Linked DNA regions of Struthio camelus. The protein of the gene in region 1 interacts with the protein of each later gene in a pairwise test. Links are inferred from orthologs where the notes say so. Each region holds a gene or a part of one and is shown in the gene's direction. Other genes may lie near its edges. The genes, in order: GSE1 and RALBP1.

Evidence for each region.
Region 2: the proteins of GSE1 (region 1) and RALBP1 interact in binary tests that used the Homo sapiens proteins (3 or more experiments, as listed by UniProt). The link is inferred for Struthio camelus from reciprocal best matches to the Homo sapiens genes GSE1 and RALBP1.

What each region holds. Positions count from the first base shown.
Region 1 is NC_090951.1:3,433,745-3,450,167, forward strand, and holds the start of GSE1 (genetic suppressor element 1), read left to right. Parts: upstream 1-9,769; coding exon 9,770-11,719; intron 11,720-16,423.
Region 2 is NC_090943.1:116,295,440-116,310,814, reverse strand, and holds the start of RALBP1 (ralA-binding protein 1), read left to right. Parts: upstream 1-9,068; 5' UTR 9,069-9,278; intron 9,279-15,375. Other genes in the region: TWSG1 (twisted gastrulation protein homolog 1), read left to right, coding at 253-434. UniProt on the Homo sapiens protein: Multifunctional protein that functions as a downstream effector of RALA and RALB. As a GTPase-activating protein/GAP can inactivate CDC42 and RAC1 by stimulating their GTPase activity.

The sequences.
Region 1 (16,423 bases):
CACCCGTGCCCGCTCGCTGCCTCCCCGCCGGCCCGGCCACCCCCGGCTGCTCCGGCGGCACCGCGTCCTGCCCGTCCCCGCGTGACTTCGCTCGTCCTCCGCGCCGGCTGCAGCAGCGGCGGCGATTACCTGCCGTCGGGATTAACGGTTGCGTGCAGGTTGCCTCGAAGAGCCGGGCACCTTGGCGGCGGCGAGGAGGAGGAGGTTTTGGCAGCCGGAGCAGGGGGATTAGGAGAGCTTTGTTGGCTCTCCGGGAGAGCGGTGCCAAGCTTGATTTGCTGGAGAGAGAGGAGCGCGGCGGCAGGAGACCCCGCGGGAGGCTGCCGGTCCCCGCGGGATGCTGCAGCGCCCGCGATCTGCCGAGGGCGACTTTGCCCGTCGTGGCGGAGAGAGGCCAGCGCGGGCGCCGGGAGCAAACACCGCCGCGTGCCCAGCGGGGCCGTCGCGGGAGCAAGCGCCTCCCTTGGCCAGGAAACCCCCTGGCGCTGACGGGCGTAGGCGCAGCGCCGAAACGGTGGCGGGGCCCGGGCGTACGGCGGCAGCTGCGGTCCTCCGCCGCTTTGTGCCCTCGCTAACGTTCGCGTCTCGGCGGGCGGCGGCGCTTGCTGAGGATGCCGAACGGCACCCGTCGGCCGCCGAGGACCGACCCCATCCCCATCCCCAAAGCGTCCTCTCGGGGCTTGGCAGCAGGCTGAACCCCGCTGGGCTGCAGCACGGGGAGTCGCGGCCCGAGCGGGGGGACACGCTCGGCCCCGCCGAGCTCGTGCGCTGGGCGCTGCGCGTGGTCACCCGGCGAGCCGGCGGCTTGCGTAACAAGGCGCGAGCATCAAAGGGAAACGCCTGAGCGGAGCAATAACCCACGCTCACAACAACAACAACAACAACAAAAAGCCCCCCCTCCTCCCCTTGCATTTCCCTCCCTCCCCTCTTGACCTTGAAGAATGCTGGAAGGTGTCATGTCATCAGCATTTCCCAGCCGCTCGGAGCTGGGGGGGGATTTGTCTTCCTCCGGGGCACCCTGCCAAGAATAACAGCAGACTCCAGCAGGTCGGCACAGGAAGGGAACGGCTGGAACCTGATTTGCAGTCAGACGCGCGGAGAGCCAGAACGCGTTTTATTGAAGAGGTCTCCAGGGAGGCATAAACCTTCCCCCCCCGCCACCCCCAAGAAAAAAAAAAAAAAGAGTGCCTTTCCGATGAAGCTGTATTTTTTTATATATGTTTAAAAAAGCCTTTAAGATAAACTTGTTTTTAGTTCACGTTGCTGGCATTGATTTACTGCGGGGGTGGGAGCGGGGAGGAATGCCAAGAGGTCGGGGACGGGGCTGTCTCGGGACCCGATCCCTGATGCACCCTTATTTCGGGAGAGGCTGGCGGCCGGAGCGGGGCTGGGGGTGCCCGGAGCCCGCCAGGGTGAAGGAGCATTTTCCCCGAGGGATCAGGATTCGTCTCTGCTGACTCCAGCGGGGCGAGCGCATCCCTCCGCGACGGCTGCTTTTAGCGGAAGGCAAAGGGAGCCATCCAGGCTCGACTCCTCCCCGGGAAGGTGACATTGCCGCAGGCGAACCCTGCGCGTTTCCAGCCCGCTTTTCCCTGCCGGCTCCAGAAAGCAGGAGGCGACCTGGGTCCAGCCCAACGTCCCCGTTGTGCCCAGTGCTCCCCAGGCGGGCGGCTCTGCCCCTTCCCACGCACCGAGGCCGGCGGGTACCCGAGGGGCGCTTCGGCACAGCTGCCCCGCGCAAAATCTTTCCAACGCATGAATTTCCTTCCTCACCAGTCGGGCTGGGAAGGGACGATCGATACCTGATTCCTTCTGCAAGGAGGCATCCTGTATTTTCCAGGCTGCCTTAAAAAAAACAGCAGCAAAACAAAACCCGTCCATCACTTGGCCAAGCGAAGGCAAAGGAGAACCTTACAAACAAGCACTTCCACCAATTCTTGCAGATAAGACACCGGCAGCAGACCTTGATCTCCGGCCCCGGCAGGGAACCTGCTGAGCTCGCGAGCCCTTGGCCTGCTAATCTGCTCTCGCCGGTTCGCTAAATCCCGCAAGATGTTCCCAATAACGGGAGCAGGCGGGGCGCGCTGGCAGCCGCCGGCTTGCTTGGCGAGCTCGTCCTTGGGGACAGCTGGTACCCTTGGCTCGTCGGAGCCACGGATGAGCAGCGCTGGGCTGCGGTGGGCCGCGGGAGCCGGGGCCGCGGAGGATGCTCCGGCGCCTCGGCCGCGCTGGCCGCCCCGGGCGCTTGGCCCGCTGGCGGCCGGGCGAGCGGCAGCCAGACACCGGCGAACCGGGCCTGGCCGCCCCGCAGCTTCCCAGCTCCCTTTTAATTCCTTTCCCAGCTGCGTTGCCTCATCACCGTGACCAGCCTGTAACCGGAGCGGGTCAGCGTTCTGCTGATGGAGTGTTTTTCCATCGGGAAATGCCGATTTCTGTGGGAACATCTCAATTTTGATGAAATTTTTCTTTTGTGTGTGTGTGTGTGCGGGGGGGGGGAATACATCCAAACGGGGCCTTGCGAGGAGGTTTAGCCTCCTCCTACCACATTTCTTCTTGCACAGACACCAAAGAATCACCGTTCTGAAACTCACGGAGCGCGCTCCGGTAGAAAAGCATAAAAAGGGATAATGCAAGCCGAAAACGCACTTTAAAAACAGCCAGCCAGAAAACGTGTACAAGTCAGAATTGAGCAAACGCTGGTGCTAACCCCGAACTTTCCCCCCTTTTCGAGCGGCATCCTGGAGGAGGCTTTGCCCTTTGTTTATCTCTCCATGTTTACGCGTCTCGTGTTGCACGTTCCCATGCTGCACTACGCGGGCCTGCTCGGGCTCACCGCCCCCGGCAGCAGATAGCCGCCGATCGGCAGAGCCGACAGGGGTTTTCGGCCGGGCACGAGCCGAAGCCTCCGCCTGCGCCCGCTGGGTCGAGGGCGCCTCGCTCCCCGGGCTCCTCTGGCTGGGAGGAAAGGGCTGACTTAAAAGCTTGCCGTGGGCCAGCTCCTCTCGTGAAAAACGTGCCGGGTGCCGGCGGCCAAGCCCTGCGCCGGTGCAAAGCAGCGTAGCGCCGCTGGCCGCGGGCAGCGCGAGCCGCCGCCGCGTGCCCGGCCCCCGCGGGTGCCAGCGACCCCGAGCCGGGCAGGAGAGGGCAGCTGGCATCTTCGACCCGTGAATAACGGGCCGGGAATAGAAAGCTGAAACCAGAGACCGCGTCTTCCCGTTGCATCTTCGGCGTCAGGCGAGAGGCCGCCTTTCCTCTTGCCCCGCTGGGCCACGGCCGGTGATCGCCTAGAAATAGCTCCCGGTGCTCATGCAGCAAGACGTCGCCCGGGCTCGCTGCGGTGCCGGGGGCTGCTCCCGCTGCCGGGAAAGGCGAGCCCCCAGCCCTGCTCCAGCAAGCTCAATGCACCGGGGCGCCTTGGTCCGTGCACGGGGGGGTCCGTGGGGAGGTCCTGGGGGTGCCCGGGTGGCCCTGCAGCCCCGCGCAGCCCAGCTCAGCACCCCCCGCCGCTGCCCAGGCACGATTGCCAGGCTGGGCAAAGACAGCGAGGAAGGGAAGCTCGAGCATATGGCAGCCTGGCGTGCGGTCGGGCAAACGGCTGCCGGTTTCCTCCGGGAGGGGAGCGCCGCAGAGGACTCCTCCAGCCAGGGCTGGCCCCTCTCCAGCTCCTCTCCCTGCGCCCGAGTCTCGGTGAAACCCCGCACCGGAGCCCCTGCTCGGCTCCGGGGCTCGGCGCTCCTGGGCTGCCGCGGCAGCAGCCCCGCAGCTGAGCTGGAGCAGCGCAGGCCACCCTCTCCGGCAGGGCTCCAGCCGCCGCGGGGAGGGAGATGCTCGCAGGGCTCAGAAAACCCTCCGAGATCCCGGCGGGGAAGGTGCCAAGTCCCTGGGAGGTGGGCATGCCCCAGGGCTGCGCGCGGGAAGGACACGGGCTGCAGACTCCTCGCTCGCCCCGATCCCACCCCGGGCGATGCAGGGGCTCGGCTGGTGCTCCCAAATTTTAACTGCTTTGTAAATGTTAATATTTGCACTTACAAACCTTTTCTTCCCCCTCCCTCCCCCTCTTCTCCACCCTTTTTTAATAGCAGCCTCTAACAGCCACACTCATTCTTCTTTGTTGACACGGCCCTTTGGCATCAGCACTTGGCATTTGCAGAGCAGCTCGTTCTGGAAAGGAAAAAAAAAAACAACCTTTTTTTTTTTAAAAAAAAAAAAAAAAGCAACCCAGCCCTGGTGCCGTGCTGGGGGAATGTGGCTCCCTCCTGCCTCGCAGGGAACGGTGCCACGCCGTGAATCACCGCCTCGCCGCCGGCAGGAGCCGGGCTCTGCGCGAGCGCTGCCCACCAGCCCGCGGGGCTTCGCCCGGGGCCGTCGCTCCCCCCCTGCGAGCGGGAAGGAGCCGACGGGCGGGCTGGGCCGGCGCTGGGAGCCAGGGTGGTACGGGCGGGATTGGGCCCTGGAGAACTCGTCCTCTGGGTTTTCCTCTCTTGCAGCCCCAGTCCGGCCCCGTGATGCCAGAGAGGGCATCTTTGCCGTGGCCCGTTGGAGCCCCTTCCCAAAAATACACCAGCAACCGGCGCTGGCCAGCTGCAAGGTGGGCTGCATGGGGGTGAGCTGAGACGGGTGGTGAGAAGGTTAAACCTGACAGAGACCCATGGGGGGACCCGCAGGTGTGTCTAAGATGCTGGAGCTCCACTTTGCTTTCACATTTAGGCGTGCACACACGCATGCACGCACACATGCGCACACGCATGCACGCACACACGTGCGCCCACGCAGCTGTCCCCAGCTGGAGGTGTGACTGCGGGGCCGGGAGCTGAGCTGGCGCTGAACAGCCTCCCCGGCTCCCGTTTGTCCTCTGGCTGTTACAGGAGCAGGAATCATTTTTTTTTTTTCCTGTTTGCGCAGCGTCTCCAGAAGGGCTGCGCAGAGCCGAGCCGAGCCGAGCTGAGCCGCTCCGGCTCCGCAGCATCGCGTCCCGGCAGCGGTGCCCGGCCGGCTCCGGAGGCACGGGGACGGACCCGAGGGCTGTCCCCACCACCAGCCCATCCCGGCGCCCGGGGGCCAAGCGCGACGGGGACGCGGTGGCAGGTGCCCTGCTCCGGCTGGGGCCACCGCCAGCCGTTGCCATCGCTCTGCCTGGCTGCCCGGCCCCCTCCCAGACTCAGCTCCCTTTGCGTGGGCTGGTGCGCGCGTGAAATGCTCTTGTTTTCCAGTGAAAGCTTTCCCTCTGTTTTTTTGTTCTCTAAATTTCTTCTGTTTTTGGCAGGGGGAACTCCATCGTGCACCCCTCTCTGTGTGTGTGTTTTTTTTTTTTGGGGGGGGGATGAGAAAACGCTGACAAAGAGGAGAAAAGCTGTCTGGGCTTTTCCAGGAGAATGGTTGAAAAAAACTTTAATTAAAAAACTCATTTGAGACCCTCCAAAAATTGTCAGCCAAAGGATACGTTCTGAACGTTGCCATGAACCAGCCCTATCTTTCCCATCTGAAAAACAAGCACAAAACGAGTGCATAGATCAGCCTTTAAAAAAAAAAAAAAAAAAAAAGCACAGCTTGCAGAGAAAAATACAGCTGTTTCGCACTGAGTTCAAGGTCGCCGAACTGCAGGCCAGTCCCCGCGGTCCCGGCGCTGCCAGCCTCGTGCCGGGCAGGGGACGGGGCGGCGCTCGGGCCGCCGGCCCGTGCCTCGCTTTCGGGGGGCGAGAGGATAACCCGCCGCGGCCGTGCAATTGCTTCCTGTGCCGCGCCGACTTGGGGTTTGGGGCCCGGCCACGCGACCCCCCTGGCAGAGCTTCCCCGGCCCGCGAGCGGGTTTGGCAGCAAATCATTTCACATAGCGGAGCAGCAAAATGCTGGGGGGGGGGGTGCGCGGCGAGCATGCAGGCTCGCAGCCCCCCAGCCAGCGCCGCTCGAGCAGGCGTGAGCTGAGAAACGGGCTCTGTCCCCGGTGCCCCTCGCACGGTCCGACCCCCAGCTGCTGGGGACAGATTTCCGGGTGGGATTTGCAGGAAAAGGCCAGACGCCAGCGACGGGCGGCAGAGCAGGGCACTGGGGGGGAGCCGGCCGCGCGCAGGGCTGTTCCCGGTGGAGCTCTCCCTCCGGCAGCATCGCTCCGGGGAGCCGCGGGGACGCAGGGCGGCGGGAGCCCGCGCGCACCTAGGGGCGCCTGCTCTGCCTGCCCAGCTAATGCACGGCTGGGAGCTGACTCCTCGGAGAAACATTCCCTTTTCGAGCAGCAGACCCCGGGGAGGATTATCCCGAGGGGGTGGCTGGGGGAACAGTCACGCTGTCTCGAAGGCACTGTGTTGTTTGAAATGCTCTTTAAGGCACTTGATGACTCACAGCAACAGCTGGAAAGAATAAGCAGTTGGTAATTTCCATATTAACCTCCCGAGCCTGGAGATGGGGGATCTGCAGCATGTGCCCATTTGCCAGAGTGCAGCGCTGGTGAGGACTGCTGTGTGTGGATGGGACCAGGACTGGGTCCGGGTCTGGGTCTGGGTCTGGGTCCGGGTCCGGGTCCCGGTCCCCAGCTGGGGCTCTGGACTGATGCAATGCCGAGGAGCGCTGTGGGGCTGGGGCTGGCGCTGGGTCTAGCGCAGCCGGGCAGGGTGCGGGAGGCCGTTCGTGCAGCGCCTTGCACAACAGGCTCTGGGCTCGCAGCCCTGATGCAATCGGGTCACGTGGAGGCTCTCCCCTGCCCTCCGAGGGACGCCGGCGGGGTTCGCCGTTGCGCGACGGGTGTTTGGTGCCTGCATTGCAAACCGGAAAGGAGGTTTCAGGTGGGACGGCCAAGGCCGCCTGCCTCCGTTGCAGCGGTTTCGCCCCTGCAGCCGTCCAGCCCGGGGGCGCTCGGTGGAGCGGACCTCGCCGCCGTCCCCAGCCCCCCCAGCTCGCTTTAACGCACCAGTCTGGCGCAGAGGGAGCCGCGGCAGAAAATCCTGCGCTAGGCTCGCCCGGCTCGCCGCGCGCCCCCGGGGGACGCCTTCGCCGCCACGGCATATGTTTTCAGTTCTTGCCGAGGCCGACTTGAGAAACGCGCTCTCCCTCCCAGCCTCTCCGTTGCAAACGACGACCGCAGGGCCGAGGCGGCGCAGAATGATAAATGAGCCGCTCTGTGCAAGCGCAGCCGCGGCCCGGGAAGCCGCCCGGAGGCAGGCTGCGTGCCGGCGGGGAGCAGGGGCCGGCGGCGGTGGGGGGCGAGCCCAGCGGCGGGCCGGCGTTGGGGGCCGGGTGGGGAGGTGGGCTCCAGCGCTGCTGCGTGAACGGGCCGTGCCGCTTCCTCGCCCATCTGCGGAGCAGGCGGGAGAGCATCTGCCGGCCTCTCCGCGAGGGTCTGCTCCAGGCTGGGATGCTCGCGGGGTGCAACCGTGCAGGCTTCGGCTGGCTTCTTCCTGCAGGGACCCCAGCCTCACGCAGCACGGCCTCATCCTGCCGTGACGCACAGCCGGGCCGTGCTGCGGCGGAGGGCAGGGTGATCCCTCGCCTCTCCTTGTTCCCCGAGCCGAGCCGGGGCTTGTGACGGCGGCGGGGAAATCCCAGCCTGTACAGATAGGGCCGGTTCCTTTCTTGCCCTCGCCCTGCTGCCTAATTCTGCTCTTCTGGGAGGGAAAAAAAAAAATCTCGGATTACCACTGTGGTGCATCAAATAGGACTGGAAGGAAACAAGCTGCGTTCCTGGCCGCGACGCGTCCAGGGAAAGGGGCAGCGCCGAGAGGCTCTGAAGCGCTGCCATATGCACCTTTAGAGAACATGTGAGTCATGTCCACTCCAACACGCTCCCAACGCCCTCCGTGCATAGAGCAGCTACAACATCAGGCCTATAAATAAATAAAATACAACGAGGCCCTGCTGTCTTCTGGAAAACCCTGCAAAAGTCCCAGCTCGCCCAAGGTATCGTGTTCTCCGCTTTGTGCGTCTCCCCCCCCTCCCTACCCCCCCCTTTTCTGTCCTGCTGGAGCCATCTGCGTGGAAACTGGATCTCCAGCCCCGGAGAGTCCTTCTGCCCCCTGCTCGCGCTCCAGCTGATGTCACGCAATCTGCTTGATCTCATGGCCAGTTGCTGGGCAGCGCGTTACGCTGTCACCGGCAGCCGAGGACGGAGGTGACATCAAGGGCTGGCTGAGCCCCGCAGGGCCGAGCTGGTGGAGGTCTCGGTCCGGCCGCAGCGCAGTGACACGGTTGACGCGGCCTCACGCGGCGTCTCTGCGCTCGGCCCGGTGTGCCGATGCACGGCTCACGTGTTCGGAGCTCGGTCCCGTAACGCTCACCCCAGCTGAGGGGCCTCTCGCAGCCCCTCTCTCCCTGTGTCCTATCACAATTATTGACTTTGCCTCCTACTTGGCCCTTACATACTTTGGGTTTGATCCTGGAAGGTCCTCAGCACCCTTCAGTGAGACAGGCACATGCTCAGTGCTTTACAAGAACAGGACCGGGCGGGGGTTGGAGCGAACCATGAACTCAAAAATACCATCAGGAGCAGGCTTCCTCCTAAAACGACTGCTTGAAAATATCCTTATGGCTGATAATACCTATTTTTTATTGGGAGACCTCTGCTGAGCCTGTGGGTATGCTGACTGGATGCTTGGGTGGTTAATAAGCCAGGTTTAATTGTGGCTGGACCTCAGCACAGTTTGCACTTCCGCGGTGCCGATTGTCCAAGGACAGCAAAGTGCTTTACAAGCATTAAATCTTATCATAGGCTGCAAGGCAGGTAAGGCTATACAGGGATTATTGCATGCATCGCTGAAATGCGGCCAGCCCTGGCTGGGAACAGATCAGCTATTTACCAGTGAGTGGCAAACCGATGCAGCATTTTAGGACCAAGCGGGAAATAGAATCTGGTATTGAACTGGAACAGCAGCAGGACTTTTAAATGTGAAATAAATCACCGGGGCTGGTATTCGGTCAGGACACTGAGTTAATGTCTGGTGCGCAGCACTGTAAAGGACAGAGACATTATTGGTGTCTTCTGCAAAGCGCCACAGGATCCCTGCTGACCGCGCAGTCCCGGACGCTGCCAGCTGCAGTTGCCTTTTTGTGCTGGTTCAGGGGCAGGGGGTTTGCAAGGGGATGTGCGTGAGGGAGGTCACCCGCCGTGCGTGGGTAGCCCCGCTCGGGGGGCGGGGGGGCTTTGCCAATGCCCCTCGCGGGGTCGGTCTGTCCCCAAGTTCCCCTCGCGGGGTCGGGGGTAAATTCCCCTCGTGGGGTCGGTTGGCACAATCCCCCGCCGCCGTGGGGCCGGTTTGCACAATGCACTCCCCTTCCCACCCCCCTCGCTCCGTGGGGCCGGTCTGTCCCCCCCCCGCCCCCCCCCCACGCTGTGCGCTCCCCTCCCGCCGAGGCTGCCGGAGCCTGGCGGCCGCCTAACCGCAACTGCGGCTCCGTCCCGGCCGGCCGCCTCCCCCCGGGCAGGCGAGCCCGGCGCGGGGGGGGGCCGGGGCCGGGGAGGAGCCGGGCCGGGGGCGCCGGGGCCGCCCGCCGGCGGGGCCAGCGCGGGGCGGCGGCGGCTGCTCGCCTGCTTGCCTGCTCGCTCCGCGCCCGCCGCCGGACCCAAACTTTCTCGCAGCGAACTTTTTCTCTCTCTCTCTATTTTTTTTTTTTCCTTTCTCTCTCTTTTTTTTTTTTCCCTTTTCCTCCGCGGAGGAGCGGGAGGCGGGCGGGGGCGGGCGCGGCGGGGCGGAGAGGCGGGGGGGGGGGGGAGAGAAGCAGCGTTGCAAACCCGCCCCCCGAGCCTGCGTGTCCGGCGGAGCCGCGGGATGAGCCGGGGGCGGCGATGAGCGCGGCGGGGCCGGGGGCGGCGGCGGCGGCGCCGCTCTCCCGCAAGCAGCGGCTGATGGCCGCGCTGGCGGCCGGCGAGGGCGGCGCGGCGGCGGCGGGCGGCCCCGGGGCACCGCAGCCCCCGGCGCCGCCGCTCTGCTGCTTCATCTGCGGCGGCGGCATCAGCCGCGGCAAGGAGCTCAAGCTGCAAGTGCGGCCCCCCCGCGACCACCGGCCCTTCTTCCCCTTCCTGCAGCACCAGGAGCCGGCGCCCGGCGCCCGCGCCGTCTCGGCGGAGGGTTGCGCCCTGGTCTGCGCCGTCTGCCGCTGCTTCCTCGGCGAGCAGTGGGACTCCTTCGAGCGGAGCCGCACGCCCGTGGAGAAGCGCATGTACTGGCTCAAGCGGCCCCACCAGTGCGAGGCGGCGGCGGCGGCGGGGGGGGGCGCCGGGCTGCGGCGGGGGGCGCCGGGCTGGGACCCCGCCGCCGCGCCGCGCCGCGCCGCCGGGGACGGCGAGGAGGAGGAGGAGGGCGAGGAGGAGGAGGAGGAGGAGGAAGAGCCGGCGGCGGGCTCCGAGCTCTCCGAGCTGTCCGACGCCGAGCCGCTGTCGGAGCCCGAGGGGGCGGGCGGCGCGGCGCGGCCCCCCCCGCCACCGCCGCCGCCGCCGCCACCGGGCAAGCGGGGGCTGCCGTGCTGCTCCTCCGAGGACAGCGAGATCAACATCACCAGCGAGGAGGAGGAGGAGGAAGGCGAGCGGCCCGCTTGGGCCGCGCCGGCGGCGGGCACCGTCTGCTACATCTGCGGCAGCCCCCTGTCGCCCGCCTCGCAGCACCGGGTCCACGTGCAGAAGCAGGAGAAGACGTCGCAGGCGCCCTTCTTCCCCTTCCTCTGGCTGCACAGCCCCCCGCCGGGCGCCCAGCCCCTGTCCCCCGCCGGCAGCACCCTGGTGTGCCCCTGCTGCTTCGCCTCCCTCATGCAGCAGTGGCAAAGCTTCGAGCTGGCCAACGTGCCCGTGCTCCAGCGGCTCTACGTGGTGCCCCTCAACGGCGGTGCCGCAGGCATGCCCCCCAAGGGCAGGCGAGGGCTCAAGGAGGACGGGGCAGGCCCAGCCCCGGCGCCCGAGGCCTGCTACCTCTGCGGGGAGGAGTGCGGCAAAGAGGCGAGGCTGGTGGCCGCCAAGATCACCAACGGGAATGCCAAGAGCACCATGCATTTCCCCTTCCTCAGCCTCCTGCCTTGCCCGCCCAGCGCCAAGGGGCTGAACAAGCACTGGGAGGTGAGCAGCTGCCGGAAGTGCTACGGCGTCTTGCAGGACCTGTGGGCCATGTACAGGGCCTGCCACAACGAGGAGCTCATCACCTCGGTGCAGAGCTTCCTGGGGAGGTACCACCAGGTCTTCTCCGCCGGTGACCCCAGCGGCCTGCCCGGGCACCCCGTCATCAAGCCTGGCCCTACATCGGTCTGCTACATCTGCGGGGCCGAGCTGGGAGCCGGCAAGGAGTTCCAGCTCAACGTCAACCCGCCGGGGCGCTTTGGCGAGAAGGAGCCCTTTTTCCCCTTCCTCACGGTCTACCCGCCCGCCCCTCGGGCCAGGCCGGCGGACTCCACGGGGCTCGTGGCCACCTGCGTGCTCTGCTACCACGACCTGCTCGGGCAGTGGCTGCAGCACGAGGGCAGGAATTCCCACCACCCCAGCAGCGCCTGGTCCCGGCAGTACAAAGTGGAGACGTTCGTCTGCTTCTTCTGCCGCCAGGAGAAGAAGCGATGCCTTGGATTAAAAGCGGTGCAAGTTGCCAGGCTCCCTGTGTTCCTCTACACGCTCCGCGTGGCCAACAGCTTGCTGGTGGATGACGGGAAGCAGCTGACCATCGGCGCGTGTGCCGAGTGCGGAGCCGTGGTCCTGGCTGGCAAGACCATGACGCCCCCAGAGCTTCTGGCAGCAGCGCCCCCGGCTCTTCTCCCCAAGGTAAGGCGTTTGGCCCGGGCCCCTTCCCTCTCCTCCCGTCGTTTCCCGGACATGATGATTTTGGCATCAAGTACAATTTAGAGCGGTGCTACAGATGGATGCTCATCTTTTGAGTCGGATCCCTGGGGGCGAATGTTAATAAATGGGGTGCTGTTAGCAAGGAACTTCTGGAGCCATCAAACCGAAAAGGAGTGGAGAGAAATCCTTCCAAGAGGCTCAAGAGAGCCAAGATCTGTCCTGTTGCAAAAACACGTATCTGTATTACTGGCGCCAGCTCTTTTAGAGCCCTGGATAAAGGAGGTGGGGTTGTTTGTGATTCGAGGTGGCCAGAATGGGAAATCCTGATCTTGTACCTCTCTCAATCGTGGATAATAATAGTTGCCAGAGCAGGGGGAAGTCTGACAGGCCCCTGTGCCCTGCCAGCAGCGCTGGCCGGCCTGCCCGCGGCAGACGGGATCCTCGGGAAATTCCTCCGGCCAAAGGAGCGCGGCGCCTCCGCCGTGGAGGAAAGTTCCCAAGTTATCTTTGGTTTTATAAGGCGCCCGAGCGAAACGGTTTCCTTTAGGAGAAACTCGAGTCCTTCCTGCAGCTGGGAAGCTGGTGTGCGGGCTCCCTGAGCCGCTCCGGGCTGCCGTTGTGCGGCTGCGGGAGGGGAGCCCGGGGCAGCTTCCCGCGGCGCCGCCGAGCCTGCCTGAGCCTCTGCTCATCCGAAGCCAGCGATGAGATGTGTCCTCTGGATGCAGGGCTGGGGACCCAGGGACACGGGCTCTCGATTGCTCCGTGCTCCTTATCTGTAGGAGAGAGTAGTTCCTCCTGCCTCCTTCAAGTTGATCCGTATGTTCGAAAAAGCAGAATTTAAAGCGGACAGGTTTAATTTCCTTCAGTTCTATGTGGATGGTCTTGTCCAGACTCAGTGGTCAGTTCAGTGTCACCCGGTCGCGTCTGATTTATGTTACGGGTTATTCTTTGCTGCGCATCCCGGTGCGGACAAGCCCTGAGCTGGGTTACATGGCATGCTTCGAGGCGGGTATGTGGAAAGTCGTACAAAAGAGCAAAGAAAATTTACTCACAGCAAGTTTGTCTTTCTCATGAAACGGGGAAATTACTGCTTTTGTCCCCAGATTTCCGACTGGCAGCGGCGCAGCTCTTGGAGAGCGGATGCTCTGTATCTGCAAAGCAGGCCCCGGACTGGGCTTCATAAAATAGCAGCCTCCAAAATCCCTAAGCTCGCTTTCAAAGTCTTTCGACTCTGCCCATAGCCAGAACCCCGTGGCTCTCTCAAGCGCTGGCGTTTTCTTTAGAAATGCGAAACAGCCCTTCTGAGGCAGGCGCTCCTTTTCGCCCCCCTCACCCCTCCTCTCTCCGGGCCGCTTGCAAATGCAGTTTTCTGACCGTCGTGCTGGCTGCGGGCTCGTGGCTCGCCTGCTGGCCCGCCGGGGCAGAGCCGCGCGAGGCGGGGGGTCGGCGCGCGGCGCCGGCGGGAGGTTGGGCTGGCACCGGAGACGGGAACCGTCCGGAAGCCGTTGCTTTCAAACGGTTTCCCCCGGGCGCTCCCTTGCCGCATCAGTCCCAGCCAGTCTGACCTGACATCAATGCAGGTCATTCATGAACGCGGGCGGGTGATTTATTCGCAGGCTGGGCTGCGTGGGGAGCCCGCTTCCAACGCGTGCAACTCGCTGTGCGCGCCGCAGCGGCCGCGGGGCCGCGAGCATCCCCGCGCTGCAGCGGGGCGCTGGCGGGCTCCCTCCTCGGGGCCGCTGGCGCTTGTTACCCGTCGCTCCCGCGGGGCATACGGAGAGACGGACGTGCGGAGCCGTCCTTCGGGAAATCCCGCGCGCGCGGGGACCCCGGGCATCGCGACCCCCGCAAGGAGGTCGGTACGAGTTTAAAGGCCTCCTCTTCCACCAGAGCGCCGAGGCGAAGGTTGCAGGGTCGCCCCGCGGCCGGCTGCGTCCCCTCTGGCTGCCCGGTCCCTGTCCCCAGCCCGTGTCACGCTTCCGCCCTTGGAAGTGTCACCAGGCCAAAGGGTAGTTTGCGGTGTTGGCCAGGGAACAGGTGTTGCTGGGGTGTGTTACTGACAGGCGAACTATTTCCGAGCGCGTCCATCATCGCGCGGGCGTCAGCGGCGGACGCTCGGGTGTGCTTCCTGCGGCGTCGCGAGCTGCCACCCCGGAGCTGTGCGTTTCGCAGACATCCCGTGATGCTCCCAGGTCCAGCTCGTTAATCCGGGACCGGCCCCGGCCCCCTGCGAAAGCCGGCAGCGGGGCCGGGGACACGAGCTCCCGCTGCCCCGGTGCTGCTCCCGGCCGCCCTGTCGGATCCGCCCCGGGAGCGGCGATGGAGAAGCGTCCCCTTGGGCTCTCGCCCGTGGTCCTGCCTCAACCTCGGCCGGCTCTGAAAAGCCTTTGTGTGGGGATGCGAGCGGTGGCGGAGGAGGAGGAGGGCATCGGGGGCCGAGGAGGGAGACTATTGAATTCCTCGCTCTTGTTCCCGAGTTTGCTAATGAGCAAATTAAGGGGCCGCTCCGATGGGCGCCACGCGGCAGGAGTCGTCGCGGAGCGGCTCGCCGGCGAGTCGCTCGGGGAGGGCACGGCCGGTCCAGGCACCGTTTCGTTTCGTGCTGCTCTCCTGCGTCCCGGTGGCGACTCTCTTGGTGGCCACAAGGTCTTCTTGCCCTTTGCCTCCCTTGTCCTTACCCGCTTCCCATCAGGCTGAGACCACCCCAATGTCAAGTTTATTTAAAACATGGCTTAATGAGCTGGTAGGGCATTTGGCTAATTTAACTAATGGGAGAAGCCTATTCTCCCGCTCAGCTATATTCTCGTTCAGTGGCACTTGCTGCTGGAAGTCACCGGGACGAGCCTCTAACCCTTGGTGCAAAGCCTTTCGCGCTTCTGCTCTGCCGCGGTGCCCATTAAAACCGGACTGGGCAGGAGGGGATGGGTTAAACCCATCACCCTGTTCTTCCTTTGCAGCTCTGCAGTTTTATTTTTGGAACGCAGGTATTTCTTTCACACGCTCGGGGCGGACAGCCCCCTGCACGCGGAGGGGGTGGTTTGCCGCGGCCGGGTCTGCAGCTGAGCCAAAGCCAGTTAGCTCAAAGTTTAGGGCTCAGACCCCGTGCCAGGGTGCTGGGCAAATGCACCAACTGCCATGGCACAGCCTTCCCTTCAGCTGGGCAGCAGCAGCAGCATGCTCCTCGGGAATTTACAAAACAGCTTTGAGCAGCTAACGAGGGGAAACAACTGCTGCAGCTCGTTAGCATGGATGATGCTCAGGTGTTTTTAGGTGCGGTGGCGGCTCAGCTGCAGGTTTGGGTGTCGAGGAGCAGAGAGGTCGTGCTGTGCTCTCTGCAGAGGTGGGATCGGCTGCCTGCGGTCCTGGCCGGCGCGGGAGGGCTTTTGAGGTAAGCTCCTTGCCGGGGTGGTTTCCGTGCTCCTCGCTGGCGTGCCGCGAGCAGGAGCAATGCTGGGCAGCGCTGTGGCCGCCTGGGAGAGGAGCTGCTGCAGAAATCTGGCTGTTGCGGGCTTGTGCGGGTGGGTTTGGGCTTTTCACCTCTTTTGCTAGCAGACAGGGAGGTTGGCCAGCTCCGCAGAGAGGCAGCCAGACACTTGGGGCCCTTGTCTGTGGGCTGCGTGCCTCGTCCCTCTCTGGGTGCTGCCAGGTTTTCTCGCAGAAAACGGAGGCAGGGCGAAGCAAGGCTGTGCGGCCCCGACAGCGGACCGCAGGCTGGGGAGAGCTATCGGGAGCGTGAACACGTGCTGCCGTGAACTCTCACCAGGGGAAAGCAGGGCGAGAGCAGGGTCTGCGGGTCGCGGGAAGGATGGAGAACGTTGCCCCTGGTTCGCGCCACGTCCTGACCTAGCAGCGCTGCCGCTCCCCGGGGCGTTGGGGCTAGAGGCAGCGAGCTCTGAGCTCAGCAGGTGTCGAGGGCAATTGCACTGTGGAAACCATAAAACGCGTCCATCAAAGCGTCTGTGAGAGAAGGACACTTAGCATTGCTGAACCGGAGGGACCTGCTTGGGAGGGGAGAGGTGATAGGGTTGTTAGGCCTCTGAAATGGAGAGAGGTAGTTATGGCCCCTGGAGCAGTGAGAGGTTAAAGACAGGTGGAGCATGGGGAAAAATTATAACGTGCCGTAAAACCGCAACTTTGCGTCCCTGGTTTCTGTTCTGGTAAGGGTTGCGTAGCTGGTGGCCCCGTGGCTGGGATCAAAGGAGGGGAGCAGGTGTAGGCTGTGTCCCTCCCGTAGCAAGCTGTAAACGCCTCGGACGCAGCAGGAGGGGGGCAATCGTGTGCATATGTGACTTGGGCTATGTTTGGATCCAGTTTTTAAAACCGATAGCATGCAGGCTGCGCAGAGCCGGTCCGGGCTCTGCCTTGAACCCGAGTAAGCCCCTGGCAGAGCTGCTGGGCACCTCACTGCTGGAGCAGCGTGTTGCTAGAGCAGGGTGTAACCCAGCAGTTGCTTTTGGGGCATCGTTTGCATCTGCTTTTGCTGGCAGAGCTGCAGACCGCAAACCTTTTTGCTAGCTAGCAGAGGCAGCCCGTTGCTGGCTGCGGGGCTTACGTCGTGCCAGGGTCACCGCGCTGCGTGCCGTGCCTCCGCCGCTGGTGCGCGCACCCGTGCTGTGCACCCAGGCAAAGGCACGTCCTCCTCCGGAGCAGCCGGCCACGCTCGGGAGCGCGCAGCCGCCCTCCGTC
Region 2 (15,375 bases), on another chromosome or scaffold:
ACAAGGTATCTCTCATAACTCAGGGGCGGGATAATACTGTCCTTGCCTGTGATTATAGCAATAATTGCACCTCGTGTCTCTGCCTCTTTTCTCTGCTTCTGCTATCACCTTTTTTTCCCCTTGTTGGCACAGAGTCTTAATGATTTGCACTCCTACTGCAAAAGGTGCGTGTTTAACTTAATTTTTTACCTAAATTTTTTTTCAAGTGTTTTGAAACTTTCTAAACCAAACCTTTTCCTTCCTTTGGTTTAGAACACATGTGTACTGTGGTGTATTTTGACGACTGCATGTCAATACATCAGTGCAAGATCTCTTGCGAGTCCATGGGAGCATCCAAATACCGATGGTTTCACAACGCCTGCTGTGAGTGTATTGGGCCAGAATGCATCGACTATGGCAGTAAAACTGTAAAATGCATGAACTGCATGTTTTGAAGCAGGAAAATTGTAACATAGTAATACGGAGGCCAAAGTAATCTCTCTCAGTTAAAGAGATGGGGATTGGAAATACTGCATTCTGGTGGAATACCTACGGGTTGCAACTAAATGGAGCTGGCTTGAGAAAAGATGTATAAAATTTGAAATCATTCTTTTTCTTTTTTAATTCATGTAAGCAAGGCTAAGTAGTAGAGTTTCAGCCATTATGTTTTAAGTTTATTTTTCTTTATTTCTGCTCAGATGGTACAGCCGTGCTCATACTTGCTGTTCTGATTGTTTTGCTTTAATTTGAATGTATTGACTATATTGTATCTAGTAGTTTAGGGAAACCGTAATAATATGGTAAAAAGATTCCCGTCATCTAAGTTTGACAAATAATCAAGTGGATACTGTGTTTTGTTTTGTTTTATTATTACCTTCCAGGTTTTGAGCTTAGCCTTCTGTTGTGAAAAGGATATTTGGGAAAAAAACCAAAAAATTAATTCTTTCAGTTCATTCTTTCTCTTCAAGTTCAAAACATGGGCTGTCATGGATAAAATCCTAACTTCTTAGAAGGGCAGTCCAGCAAAACACTACATATGGAACACTTTCCCTCTAAATTTCATCTGCCTCATTCTCATAAGTACATTTAATGCAATTACTGCATGAAAAAAAAAAAAATCAGTCTTCTCTTAGATACCAAAATAAAGCTGTTAAGTGCAGTTGCATGCCCCTCCTTGTGCACTTTTCTCTAGGGTTGCTTAATCCTTGAACATTCAGTCCAGTAAAGGAAACATGAAAGGTGGTTATGAATCAAAAGACTAAGTGCATAAAGAAGAATGAACCAACATGAACTAGCAAGTGCCACGGAGTTATCAGTTGAGCAGCTGGCAGCAGGCCCATATCACATTTAGTAGTTTGCTGTGAATATTTATTCCAAACCCTACTTTTATTTTTTTTCTCGTGAAAAGTTGTCACTGACGAAGGGAAGATGTGTCCTCAAAGGCAGAACTAGGATGTTATGAGTATAGAGCGTTCTGTCCATTTTTCTAGGTAAAGTTTTAATATGCTGACTGTTACAGGGCAATTGTTACGACCCTATTAGGTCTCCATTGATAATGGTACTAAGTACAAGAATAAAGTATGAATAGTTAGTGATCAGCTTTTGGTATTTATAATGATGTTGGTTTTAGCTCCTTAATTTTTTTTTACACATATGCATATATGTATATGTATGAAAATTGTTGATTATTCATGTTTTTGCCACTAGCGTCGGTGTAGGCAGATTAAACTGTCTTCGCTCACATCTGTCTGTACCAGGTACAAAGGAACGCAGTCATTTTAAACTTCTTTTATTTGAAAAGATTTCCTGAGTGGTTTTTTTTCATTTTCCTGATACAGCTCTCTGAATAAGATGAAATGAAAATATCCTACTTTTGTGAAATAATTTTGCTTTTTTCAGTCTCTCTTTCAGCTATACAGAAGTACTTGAAAGATGATTGTTTTGTTTATTGTTCTGAACTAGTGGCTAAGGAAATATATTCCTACTTTAAACTTGGGACTAAGTGGAAAACAAAATCATAGATACGAATAGAAAAACTTAGCTTATAATGAAGGAGTTGTTCTTCCCTTGTTTGACAATATCTTATGTTATCTTTTATTCTACATGAGTTTCTTTAAAATGAACGAAGAGGAAGAATATGTAAGAGTAGCTTTGACTACTTGCTTTTAGCTGGAGGATGATGTAGCATTCTTGATCAAAATAGAAAGCATACAGTAAGTGTGCCTACAGATCCTACTTAAGATTTTGCAGTGTTAGACGACTTGAAACAACTGAAATAAAATCATAGTTCAAAATCTTCTTGGGGAAAAAACAGGGCTGGTGTTTCTGGATAGGAGCCTGCTGCCATGGATCTGTGACACAATATTCATTTACATCATTATGATTTCACTATGATGTCAAGTCAAAGGAATAGCGTGGGTGGATAACTGGAGGGTAGAAGAGACTCTTCTAATAAATGTCCAGGAAAAATTGTGGGGAAACAGCTTCAAAATTTGATAACTTTGTGTAATGGGCCTGAAAGTAGGTAGTGAGGATGCACACTTTCTGAGGCTTGCCTTATTTTTGTAATTCTCGATGCTGTTTAGAGTTTGCTGTAAGCGTTGTATGTATGCAAACGTCATACAGCAACATCAAACGTATTTTATTATTACGAGTGTTTTAAGAGGTATTTTAATAAAAAGACATTGGTCTATGTGGTTTCCTTCTCATGATTTTCTCAGAGCAAAAGTTACTAGGAAGCATATTATAAAAGGACCATTGTTACTGTTCTGGACTGATAGAATAACACAGAGAATTTTTACCTTTTTATAGTAGTCTCTTCCGAATCTAAAATTGTCGTCGGCTCTTAATAGTTTTTCCTTCAGATAAATCAGTAAAGAAGAACTTGCTTAATAGTGAAAAAGATTTTTCTGAGAGGAATTAATCATTTTGGACGGTTGTGCATTTAGTCCTAATTCATGTTGCAAGGAAAATCGTAAGTTATTTTTGGGGCTCTTATTGTGCTTAGGCCTGGAGATGAGCAAACCATCACCTGCATATGCGCTTTAAATAACTTAAGGACATGCTTAAAAAACTTTCAGCTAGAATCTTATCTAAGTAAAGCATTGGTCAGTTTTTTATCACTATCCTTCCTGACACAATTGGAAATCACTAAACGTAAAGGGAAGCAAAAAAGGGAGTGCCTGTAATAGGGAATTACACAAATCTCTGCAGTCTGTTGGGGTTCTGTCTGAGAAGGGGTTGAATGCCTTTTGTTATTCTTTCCCTAAAAGTAGAGAAATACATAAAAAGTTCTAGTTCCTTCACCTTTGCATTCTGAAAACTTCAGAAATGCATGTCATTCTGGAAATAGTGATGTAATACAAAAGGGAATTAACTCAGTTGTCACTGTAGAATGAAATCAGAGGCATAGAAGACAGCCTAGGACAGCACCTGGCCCTCCCAGCAGGCTGCTGTGACAACATGATGGGAACTGGAGGGAACTACAGGCAATTCCTCTAGTTGCAGGCCGTCCTGCCCTTCTTGCCATTAAGACTGAAGCCATACTGATCAGAGGATGATGAGATCTCTAGCAGAAGTACAAAGCAGAGTGCAGTGTAGACTCTTTTTTCAGCTGCTGTGAATTAGAACACCTTTAGGACAGGTTCTTTGTTAAGGCCTAGGAGGAAAAGAAGAAAAGTCACCTTTCCTGGAACACTAGTTGCTGGGCTAAGTCTTCACAGACGGCAGCATGAAATTGGAAATAGAGAGACCTTAATGCAATCGATGCATCTCAGGCATGCTTTCTCTAACTCCTAGGATCAGCCTTTTGGCTGATTCACACTGATGTACCTCACTGGCTGCTCCCAAAATTATACCAAGGTACAACAGCAGAGGTAGGCTATAGTGCCTGTATTTTGATTCTGTGAGCCCAGAAACAATGCCACTGCACATCAGAGAAAGTGTACTAAGGGATTCTGAAGTTCCTGTCAGTCTTTGTCAGGGCATAACAGTTCTTTGAGGATGTGAGCTTTGTAAATCTGGAAACTCACCTTCCTGACGCTTTTTTGCAGCTGTCGTACTGAAGTGTTTTTTCTCACAGGCACTTGTTGCTCCCAGATTTCAGAAGAACCGATGCCCTGCAGAGAGGGTGAGTGAGTGATATGGTCATAATGTGACATTGATTTCATGGGATTTCTTAGGCTTCCTAGCATGCTTTTAATAAATCCAGTAGATTTTATATCTGGTATTTCAAAAATGGTTATGAGGGCACCTGCTCATATTTCTAATAACAGCCACTAGTTCATTCAGCGACTGGCCTGCTCACAGTCACTTCCTGTTGTTTTTTTCTGGACGCGTTACTATGTTAAGAGGTGTGCCAAAACTGATAACCTGATAAGAGGCGAGGCTGCCACAGTTCCAGGTTCCCATGTCCAGCCAGCAGCAAGGCTGAGCACATGTTCCCAGTAGGCATACACGTAAACACACGTATACAACACATGCACACAGCCGGCCACAGTGACCAACACAGACAGAAGCACTCAGCAGTTACACGAATGGCACCAACAGCCTCATCCTGTTCCCTGCTTCAGGATGAAGGTCCATTATGGGAAATCTATATACATATACACATAGTATGGATTCTGCAGTAGCTGGCCTTGGATGCTCATTCTGCCTAGTAACTGGTCCTGGCTCCCAGGTGTCCCCAGTTGCTGGCACCTGGGCAGGTCAAGGCCCTCAACCCCACTCGCACACACCAACACCTGCACAGGCACACTCACATGCTCCAGATCCTCTTGGTAATTGGCCTTAGATGCTCAGTCAAGCCTGTAGCTGGCCCTGGATCCTCTTGTTTCTAGTTGCCATACAAATGGGTCTATCAATCAACCCCCGGACCTGCTGTCTCCCCAGTAGTTGACTTGGACATCCTGGTGCCTCCGGTAGCCAACTCGCAGTTCCTCTGGTTTCTGTCTGCCTTCCCAAGCCACTTACCCTGCCACCGGCTAGTCCGGCTTGACGTTGGCTCACAATCACACGCCAACGTGCAGACCCACACCATATGCACACGCTCCGGTGTCTGAAGTGTGGCACTCGAGAGACACGCAGCCCCTGTGACTCGTGGCCCCGCTGTGGTGGCACTCAGGCCTCCATGCACACACTGAATAGAGCCCCCTCACACAGGAAGAGAGCTAGAAATAGAATTTATGGAGCAGACAGGACAGAGTGGTGGTGAGGCACAGGGCATGGCCAGACAAGCGTAGTGCAACCTGTTTGCACCTGTCCAGCCCCTTTTATCTCCTTATCCCACTATTTTCCCACACTTGTTCCTCCCCAAACCACTTTGATCCCTCCTTCTCCCCTCCTGTGGTCCTCCTCCTAAACATCATATAGGAATTTTTGTACAACCCCTAGACAGTCCTCCCTGCAGGCCATACCGAGTCCCACGCCCCCAGCAGACGCTCTCTCTCACAGAGCTGCTCCTCATGGTTAAGGGTCCCCCTGGCCCCAGGGCTCCTTTCTCTGACTGGTTTATTGTGATTCCCCCACCTGCCATCGTGCCTCAGTGCTCTTTCGTGCTTGCGTCAACAAGTCTTTTATCACATAACCTAACATATTAGTGATTATAATGTCTATTGGGGTTTAAAAAAAAAAAAAAAAAAAAAAAAAAGCTTGTCCTGAGATTTCCCACTAGGTGCGACAGTGTTGATGGATGAGTTCTTGGCGTGATCTGTTTGACCAAGTACTATGTAGTTAAAGTATACTTAGAAACAAGACATTGGAAGGAACAAAGTCTTTTTCAAACAAATCTAGCTAAGAAGGCTGCCAAGGTCCAGTTTTTTAATATCCTTTCACTGCATATGTCTTTTTAAATTTTCTTCTTACAACAAAGATCTGCGAATAGTGTGATTCCGTAGTGCTAATTGGAGTTGTAAAGGCAGAGCTCAGTATAGCGAACTGATTTTTTATCATATCGCTCTTCTGGCTCTGTTCTCTCCTGTTATGTGATACTTCCTATGAATAACTTAGCTTTTTGAAGATTTTAACTAATCTATTTCTTCTGCACTTTCCTTGGTGTATTCAAGCTGTCATTGTTTTGCATGCATGTTTTCATATGTGGCCGGCCAGTGTCTTTCATCAGCTATACCTCTTTATGACTGCTGTGTATTTCTTTATGGCTGATGAGAATTAAGCAGTGTGTCTACCTGTGGTTTGCCCACCAGGGTAGACAATTTAATAGAATCTAATGTGCTAAAGTTATCACAGAATAGTACAGCCCATTTAGACTCCCATCTCTCAAAGGGTTTTGAGTGAACACTTCTCATCGTGTCCTCTCCCCATTCAAAAGAAGTTGCTGTGCAGACAGGAGTGAAAGAAAGAGAGGGCCATAGGGGGAGCAGGCCCTTCTTCTTTCCAGTTCTGCCACACACAGACTTTCCTCATCTTTATGGAAACAAGTCTTCCATTATGATATCCTCTCAATTCAAATATGTGCTTGGTCAACAAAGGAAAGTTGGAGGTGTCTATAATAAAATGACTGTGCTCCCTTTGGCCTTTAGTCATGAAGTTGAATTGATCTCTGGAAGATATCTATTATTTACCACTTCATACATAGCTCTTTCAGTTTTATGAGCAAGAAGGACAGTGCTCAGTGTCATAGGGAGTCCATCTGTGGTACCAGCAGATGTAACTACATGGACTAAAGGAGGTTTTTTTTTAACTTTGAGTAAACCTGGAAGTTGAGATATTAAAATGGTTTCTCAGGCACTATTTCAGACTGCCAAATAGAAGATGTACCCACTATCTTTCACTAATAAAAAGACAAACTTAACCCAAAACTGGCTTTCTTGAAGCAGTCACAGCTTACACAGCTCTGCTTTTTTTCCTTTTTTTCTAAAATGCTTTCTAGACCACCACTCCATTATTATTTTGTAACATTTATGAGGCTCAGGTACAGAAGCAAGACTGAATTTCAAAGCAGAGAGTTTGTCATCTTAGAATCCTTGCTTGACTTTGTCCTTAAAACAGCAAGAATTTATGAAGAGTGAATGTAAGGAGGTGTAGGGCGTAAGAATGTGTCTCAGTCTGCGTAAGCAGGCCTCGGACCACAATGAGGTTTCTGAAGTTTAAAATTACCCAATTGTATTTCATATGGCAGCAAGCTGGTCCAGTACTGCACACAATTACTTGTTTGTTTTCAGCAAAAAATGGAGGAAGATTCATTCTCTGTTTATCAGCTGATGGGCCTAGTGTTTGTGAGCTTATGTTAACAACAGCCTCTGATACTACTTACTCTTTGGAGTTGAGAGCCTCTAGTGACTATCACTTCAAGTGGAGACCCTTACAGGCAATCATCTCAAATTACTATAGATGTTACTAAAGAAACCATTCCCTCCTTTTGCCAAAAATAATACAGCCTTTGTGTAACAAAAACCATTAGCTGTGATGTTAAGTTAAATAAAACAGTAAGTACTTGCCTTTAAACTGTTCCTTCTGGGAGGGAGGAGGGAAACTGAGAGTTGCATGATTATGTAATATGCTGTGGAGACAATATCTCTGTGCTCCAACACTAATCAGAGTGTTTACAACCCTCCCTTTTGTATTTTCTACTGAATAGCACAAATTCCTGTGGGGGACCTTTTACATTACCACAGAAGGTTGCACAAAGAACCCATTTGACAAGGACTAAGGAGCATTGAATCTCAAGTGAATAAACGAAGCAGGTGGCACACTGCCACAGTATTAATGTGTCCAATAGCTTAGGGATTATGTTTGAGGCTGTGGGAATGAACTGGTCTGCTTCTTACTGGAACAAATTCCCTTGTTGATTAGGAATCCTGAAAAGGATTCAAGATATGCAGGTGCTTAACATAATCAGAAACTTGTATGGTAAGAGACAAAGAATACAAAATTCTTTTAATATCACTATAAACAGGATGCGAGTTGAGCTGGAGATGTGTTTCTTGGCACAGATCACCTCCTCGAGTCACAGAGTATTTCTCCAATTTCTTGTATGCCACAAAGACAAACTGGTAATGATGCAAGCTCAAATCTGTTGCACAAGATGAAGCCAAAGTAGATGGCTGCTCTCTTTTGCATTGTAAACATGGAAGTCGATAGCAATGTTATTGAGAAAGCAGGCTGGATGTAAACAGCTACAGAGCTGTGTCAGCTCTTGCATTTGTGTTCCGTGTCTTTCAACGTTTGTTGACTTTCCACTGTTAAAAATTTTAAGGGGTTTATCTCACAACAGGTTTAGTCGTAGACTACTTGATGAATCGTTCCCAATGCTTATGTTTCTCGTAAAACTGCTCAAAGAAGCAGATTTTTGTTCCTGTCTGGTTAGGGCGCCTTCGGTGAACTTTATGAAGTTTTTCCGTCATTGAAACAAGAGTGCTGAAGGGGTCACTCCGGGGACCCCCTTCAGCGGTGCTCCACTCAGCCCTTGGCCCCAAAGTGCCTCGCTGCCTGCAGCTGGGACCAGCTCCCCTCGCACCCCGGTCGCAGGGCTTCCAGGTGAACCTCGGCCTTCCGCCTCCCTCCCAGGACGCCACCGGCTGCTTGCCAGAGGAGCTCTCTCCCCCGGCAGGGCCCACAGCTGCCGCAGGCCAGGGTCCTGCACCACAGAGCACGGCAGCCCCCACGACCGACGAGGGCCGGAAAGCCATCGAGGCAGGAGCCTCTTGTGCCCCCGCAACAGCCTGCGCTCCCTCAGCGCAGCGCTCGCGGGAGTTGAAGAACGAGCGAGGCCGACAGCACGGCCGCGCCTCGAACCTCGAAGCCGCCTAACACGCGGCTGCCGCCTTCCACCCCGCGAGGTCGCTGGGAGTTGTAGTCCGACGCCCGCAAAGCGACCGGCTACCCCTTCCCCTGGGTTCCGCCGAGGGAACTACAATACCCGGCAAGCCCCGCCCGCCCGGGGGAAGCGCGGCAGGGGAGGGACATGACGGGCGTCTCCTTCCCTGCCCCGTCTCGTCTCCCCGCCCTCCTATTGCGCGTGCGCAGAGCGCCTCTTCCGGGGTGGTGTCCCCGCGCGGGCCCGGCGCCCTTCCCCCAACGCTACAGCGCACGCGCCCTACTTCTCCCCCCCCCCCCCCGCGCTGGCTCCCCCCGCCTCCGGCCTGGGCAGCTTTGCGCCTGCGCGAGCCTCTGCCCCGCGCCGCGGAGGAGGTGGCGGCGGCGGCGCATGCGCGCTGGGGAAGCTCGCGCCGCTGCTGAGCCGTCCTTGCGGGCCGGGCGGCGGAGGCGGAATGGGGCACGAGGCGGGGCCCCGCGCGTGAGGCCGAGGCGGAGCCGCCGCGCCGGCGAGCCGGACCCCGACGGTTAGTGCTCCGATGGGGGGAGGGAAGGGGGGCGGAGGCGGGAGCCTCCAGCCCGGCCGCCTTCGTTTCCCGGTGAAGGGCGAGGAGGAAGCCACTTCCGGGCTGGTGGGGGGATAACGAGTGGCGGGGAGCCTGCCCCCGCCCCCGGCAACGGCCGCCCGGGGGGGGAGGGAGGGGCAGCCTCAAGGCCTCCCCAGCCGGCAGGCGCCCCGGGTGAGGGGCGGCGGGGTCGCCGGCTCTTCCCTGCCCGCAGACGCCGCCTTCTCACCTGGCCGGTCCGGAGGGCAGCAGCGTGGGCTGCGCTGCCCGAGGAGCCGTCCCCGCCGGCGGGGGGAGGGAGGGGTGGTCGGTCCCCGGCTGGGGGCTTCCCCCTTGAGAGCTCTGGGGTAAGGCGGCTGAGCTGCTGGGCGTGCGTGCCCCAGTGGAGGAGCGGGGTAGTGCTGGGGACGGAGACCATGTGTCCCAGCCCTGTCTTGTCTCCTGTCTTACTGCTCAGGAGAGGGATCTGGTCCTTAGGCTTTCTCTGATGACATTCTTTTCGCTCGTGTCCTTAATGAGAATGAGCATTGTGCATCCCTGGGTGGATGTCAGGCTCCTCCTGTGCCGTATTTTCTTATTACCTTAATCTCATGCTCCAAAGCATGTGTCAGATTTGCTGTCGCTCAGGCTGAGATTAGAGGTGTTCTAGGTTACATCCTCGGTTTCTATGAGTTTTTTTTTTTTATTATTATTCATTTACCTTCAGCTGGAGGTTACATCTTTAAAAGTAGAAAACTCTTACTCTCATTGACATCATTATAGTTTTGCACCTAGTATGCTCAGCAAGGTCCAAGCATGCTGTGTTTGCTTGCCTCATGATGTTGTTTAGAAAATGTGTACATCATGTACCATTGCATCATACATGAGTAAAAAAGTAGCTCTTCCCTTAAGCGCTTAAGTATCTTAAGACAAACCATAATGAAAATACCAAGAAACCACAGTGATAATTTGAAAGTATCTCTTCCCGAGAATGTTTTGGTTTCAGTTTGTTTTCTGTTGTCCCTAAGGTTTATGGTCATCCTCAACGAAGAATAACAATCAGGAATAACTGGCTAGGACCTTTTTACAAGTTGCATAAAATAGATGGATTTGTGCAAGTCTTTTGTTCCAGTATAGCAAAACAGCAATATTTGCCTTCTCACATCTATTTCTCACCTGGAAAGCTCTTGAAGCACCTACTATTGTAAATGTTCAACATCGCTGTAATGCAGTGTAATTCAAGGGTGATATTAAGGCTATGTTTGGTCTGATTGTAGATAGATATGACTTTATTACCAAATTTTAAAGAGTCCATTTGATTTCATTTTTGATATAATTTGAAATGTTGCATGCAACTTCTGATGAATGATGCCATACAACAACTTATAATTCATTTTGATATAGTCCTATGCAATCAGTGTGGCACGTACTCGTGGAGGGCTCTTTTCTGCAGAGGAGTAAAAAGTGGGGAAGAAAAGCTTCCGAACAGTTATGTTTTTGAATGTTTATTACTTCGAGGTGTTTGAAATGTGCTGAAAATATGCTGTAATATTGTAGGTAATTATGTCCATAGTAGGGTGTTTATTATGGAAGAGCAGGGAACTGTAAGTTTCCTGTTCTAGGGATCTCTTCTCTATCACTCTGGGAAAATAATTTCTGTTCTTTAGTTTTGCTGTATCTGAAATGGAAATAGAAGATTGGAATAGCTGCTTCAGACTTTTAAGAATTCAACTGCAATTCTGGCATCATTCTTTCTTAATTAAATGTGGTTTTTTTCTTTGTGGGGCTGGAGGATTTTGTTTTGGGGTGTTTTTTTATTTGTTGTTTGTAAAATTTTCACTTGTAAAACCACTGGTGCAGTTGTACTTAGATGCAGTAGAAAGATTTCTTGTATCGCGTAGCTTATTTCCCTCCCTGTATGTGCATGTCCATACTGGAATATGTTGTCTTTGTATTGCAATAACTGTATTATCGCTTCAGTGCTGTATTGCTTAGTTCTGTAGGTGTAGTTAAAGCAAAAGTGATGTGCATGTGTACTGTATGTTAACACTTTAGGATTGTGATCTTAGTCGTATCTTCTAGGCACTTCCCTAGTATGATTTGTCTGTATTTTCTTACAACAAAGGCTTAGATGTTTTCTGAGTAAACAGTGCTGTTTCTGACAAGCTATTTCAGACTGATATGAACAACGCTGCCGTGTAAAAATACGGACAAATGCAAACTTATTTTCCTTCTTTAAAAGTTGATGTCATGTAACTGGTATCTAAATGTCAAAATATAGTATGACTTATTTCTTCATTTAACTGTATGGTTAGTATAACCTACTAAGCTTTACTCTGGACTAATGCGTCTAAGAATATTTTGAACCAGTGAATCACTCGCTACCCTTAAAACTAGCCGTGGTTCACCATGTGCCTACTTCAGACTTTCACCTGAAGAATCCATCAGTTGTTCTGTTCACCGGTACCTTGGACACCATAGTTCGGAAATCGTTGATCAAAAAGAGAAGATCCTGCCTTTGGGCTGGATATAGCCTGGGGGAGTCCTGCACTTAGGCTGCATCGCCCAACTGGATGGTGTTGAAAGATGATTACTGTCCAAATAGCAGTTCTCTCCCGCCTGCCGTGGCCCAAACCAGAAAGGTGAGCGTGCAGGTTGCTTTTGGAAAAAGGAAGGGTATGACTCTTTTCCCTTCCCTGCATATCCTCCCCCTGGCAGCCCATCAACCCTGTTGAGCATGGCTTCAGCAAATACACAGTTAGTTGAAGCTGTGAGGGGACTATGGAGTGAAAGAGCCCTCCAGCACGCCTTCATCTCGTACGTTGAGTAGCACCACCACCACCACCACCACGCACGCTTTTCTTTAGGCTGTAGTAGATGGGCACATACCGCAGAAGCTAGTTGAAAGGAGGGGGTGGCAGTTTACATGGAGAAGTTGCTAGAAAGGGCTATGGGGAGCAATATATATAATTGCTTAAGTGAGGGTAGGACTGGTGATCCAGTCAAAGCGTAGTTTATGGTGTTCTCACTAGGTAGTGTACTAGGCAAAATTGTTTTATGTAGGATTCATAAAGAAAGTATTGTGACAGTTTTTGAACTGGTAGGGAAAAAATTGCAGAAAAGATTATAATAATTAAAGTATAGTGGCTTCAGTGCTTTAGATATTTTGTTAGGAAGATCAAAAAAGTTAATACCTGTATAAAATATGGCTGAACAAAAACACTTGAGAAATGTAATTCACGTTCTTGGTTTCATTTATTATTACTTGTGCAATGAAAAGGGGGAAGGCATATTTTTCTTGCCTAACCTATGAATTTCAAGTAGGTATGGGAGACTGACATCTCCTAATTCAAAAATGTGAGATGGTAATGTTTAAGAGCTGTCAGTTCACCACCTACTAGTAGTGAACTACTTTGGTAAGTAAAGAAGACATGTTTAAATAGAGGACGTGGTTTGGTATTTTTTCCTTATGTTGCTTAGATAACACTGAGCAAACAAAAATACAGATAGTAAGCGTTTATATTCTTCAGCAATTCCCAGTTTGTTCCAGAAGCATCTTAACATAATACACTGAATAAAAAATAAGCAACTAATAGTCTAATAAAAGAGTGCTCACCAAATAATAGTTATGTCGATCTGAATAAGTGTAGGGAGCTATTTAACAGCTTGAATGGATGACTATGGTATACATCCCAGTTAAAAAAGAGGTTAGTAGAGACAATGTTATATTGAGTTTTAAATAATCAAATTCAGTGTTGCTGCTTTTTATGTGCAGAATTAAATCAGGTAACGGTTCTGATATAATAATGATTGAAAAAAGTGATTTAAGTCGCTGCATCCTCACTGGCCTGCCCCTAATAATTACCATTAATCGTCTGTCTTTTTGTTTTAAGTGCTGAGAAAACGAGAAAGAAATGCAGACCCTAAGCAATCAATTCCAGTAGGAGAGTTCTTAAAAAGTAGGATTAGAGTTTTTACTGTTACAGATGAATTTATGGTGTGACCCTGTAGGCAATCCTTGGCTTGCTTCTATCCAGGTCACTGCCTTTCCTGGAGGAAACAGGGGATGGTTTAATGATTCTCACCAAGTACAACCCAATGCAAAGTACAAAGCTGAGGAAGACAATGTATGTGTGTGTAGAGATGCACTATTGTATCTGCTGGGGAATGTGCTTTTGCCTAACTGTAGTTGCTGACCTCTACTTCAAAGGGGCAGCTTTGGCACTAGTAGCAGCAGATTTCTCCTTTCCACACTGCCTTCCCTATTATCTTTCTTGCTCACAAGATGTTGAGCTTTTTTAGACTGGCTATTTTAGTCTCTGGAGACATAAAAGGAAAGAAAGGGAAGAGTGATGGCTGCTTGCATGAGGTGGGAAGAGGCCAGATGGCTGTTACAGAGGAAGCATGAGGAGTAAGTCTGTGCCAAGGTTTGAAATTCTGAATCAGAATGCAAGTTTGAACCAAACTGGAAATTATTGTAAGTAGAATAAATTTAGTTTTAAGGTGACTGTTTTATAGATAAGATGTGAATAACTGTTCGCTCAAGTCAGTTCATATATGAACATAAATATAAACATATGAACATGTGTTCATAAACATAAGCAGTTCATATAAAATACAGGAAGGTTTCACTTTTGTCCTCTATAATATGAAATCTCTCGTGTTTCTGTGTATATGATCTAGGTTAAGTCAGCGTATGAAGCTTGCTACCTCTTTCACAGTTTCAGTGGGATCACTGGGCTTTTGTATAGAGAATAATTGAGCTTCTTGCTAGAAGAAAGACATCCGGTGGGAAGGAATTCATCGGACTGCACATAGTCCTGTGGTGCTACCAGGCCTTGAGCTGGATAAATGTTTTTTTTTTAAAAACACAATATATTACAGTAGTACTGTTTACTGTGGAAAAAGAGCTATCACAATGACAAAAAATTACCGCTTCCCTTTTTCACAAAAATTGAATTAAGACTTCTGGAAGAACTTCAGTTCTCTTTAAAACCATACCTAACTTTTTAGAATAGGAGTTACACATAAGAGCAAGAAACTGTAATTTTATGTCTCTTGCTGTAATCGTTCTTGTGAACTTTAACATTTAACTTATCCTTGTAATTAGACTGATTGCTTTTTTTAACAGTTCTAGCCCACCCATATGTGTTTTTAAATATGAACATCTCCACTCAAAAAACAGAAATTTGTGGTATGCTACAGTGAAAAAAATTTTTCACTGGCTGTTATTAGCATAAATTCTGTTGAATGGAAATTGAAAATTCTAAAATTAAACACTCCAGCAATGAAGCTCTCGTTTCATGGTGTTAGTAGAGTTTTTCCATCGTATTACTTTGGAAATCCATAGTTCCTGCTTATTTTTTCCTTTTTGCAATACGGTACTTTTAATTATTATTGAGTATCTTTGTTTAAGAAAGCTTGATGAAAGACAATTTAGTTGTCAGACATTTTCCTATATTTGTAATAATCCAACTCCAATATATTTTAATATTGTGAACCAGCTGATATACAGGCATAATGCCAGTCTTTACAAAATCTGAAATATCTTGTTTTAACTGGACATGAGAAAAAGGTATTCTTTTGTTTGCTCCCTTACTCTTCTAAAAAATTTTTGGTAGTGGTTGCTTGAGAAGTGATACTATAATTTTAAGATAGGCTAAAGAGCTCTTCATGAATATTATTATTTTCTTTTTAATTTATTGAATAGACCAAAAATATAAGATCTTACAGAAGAAACATCCAATGGAATAGATTTACCCAGAAACTCTTTGGATTATTTCAGCCTAGTGATTTCAACTTTTCTTGTTCTTTAGATGTTTTAATCTTTACAATTTGTTTAGGTGTTGTACTACTGTAAGCTAACATCAGATAGGATGATCTTTCACAGAAGAAGGGTGATGCTTCTGAAATTTTAATCCTGAAAATTTGAGTTTGTAGTTCTCCAAAATTCATATAACCCAAACCCTGCAATCAAGTGGTTTTCATCTGTCTTATTTTGAAAATGATTTAGAAGTTGTTGGGGGAAATGAAGTGCAACTTTCAAAATGAAAGAGGAAGTGTTGAATATACAGAGTTC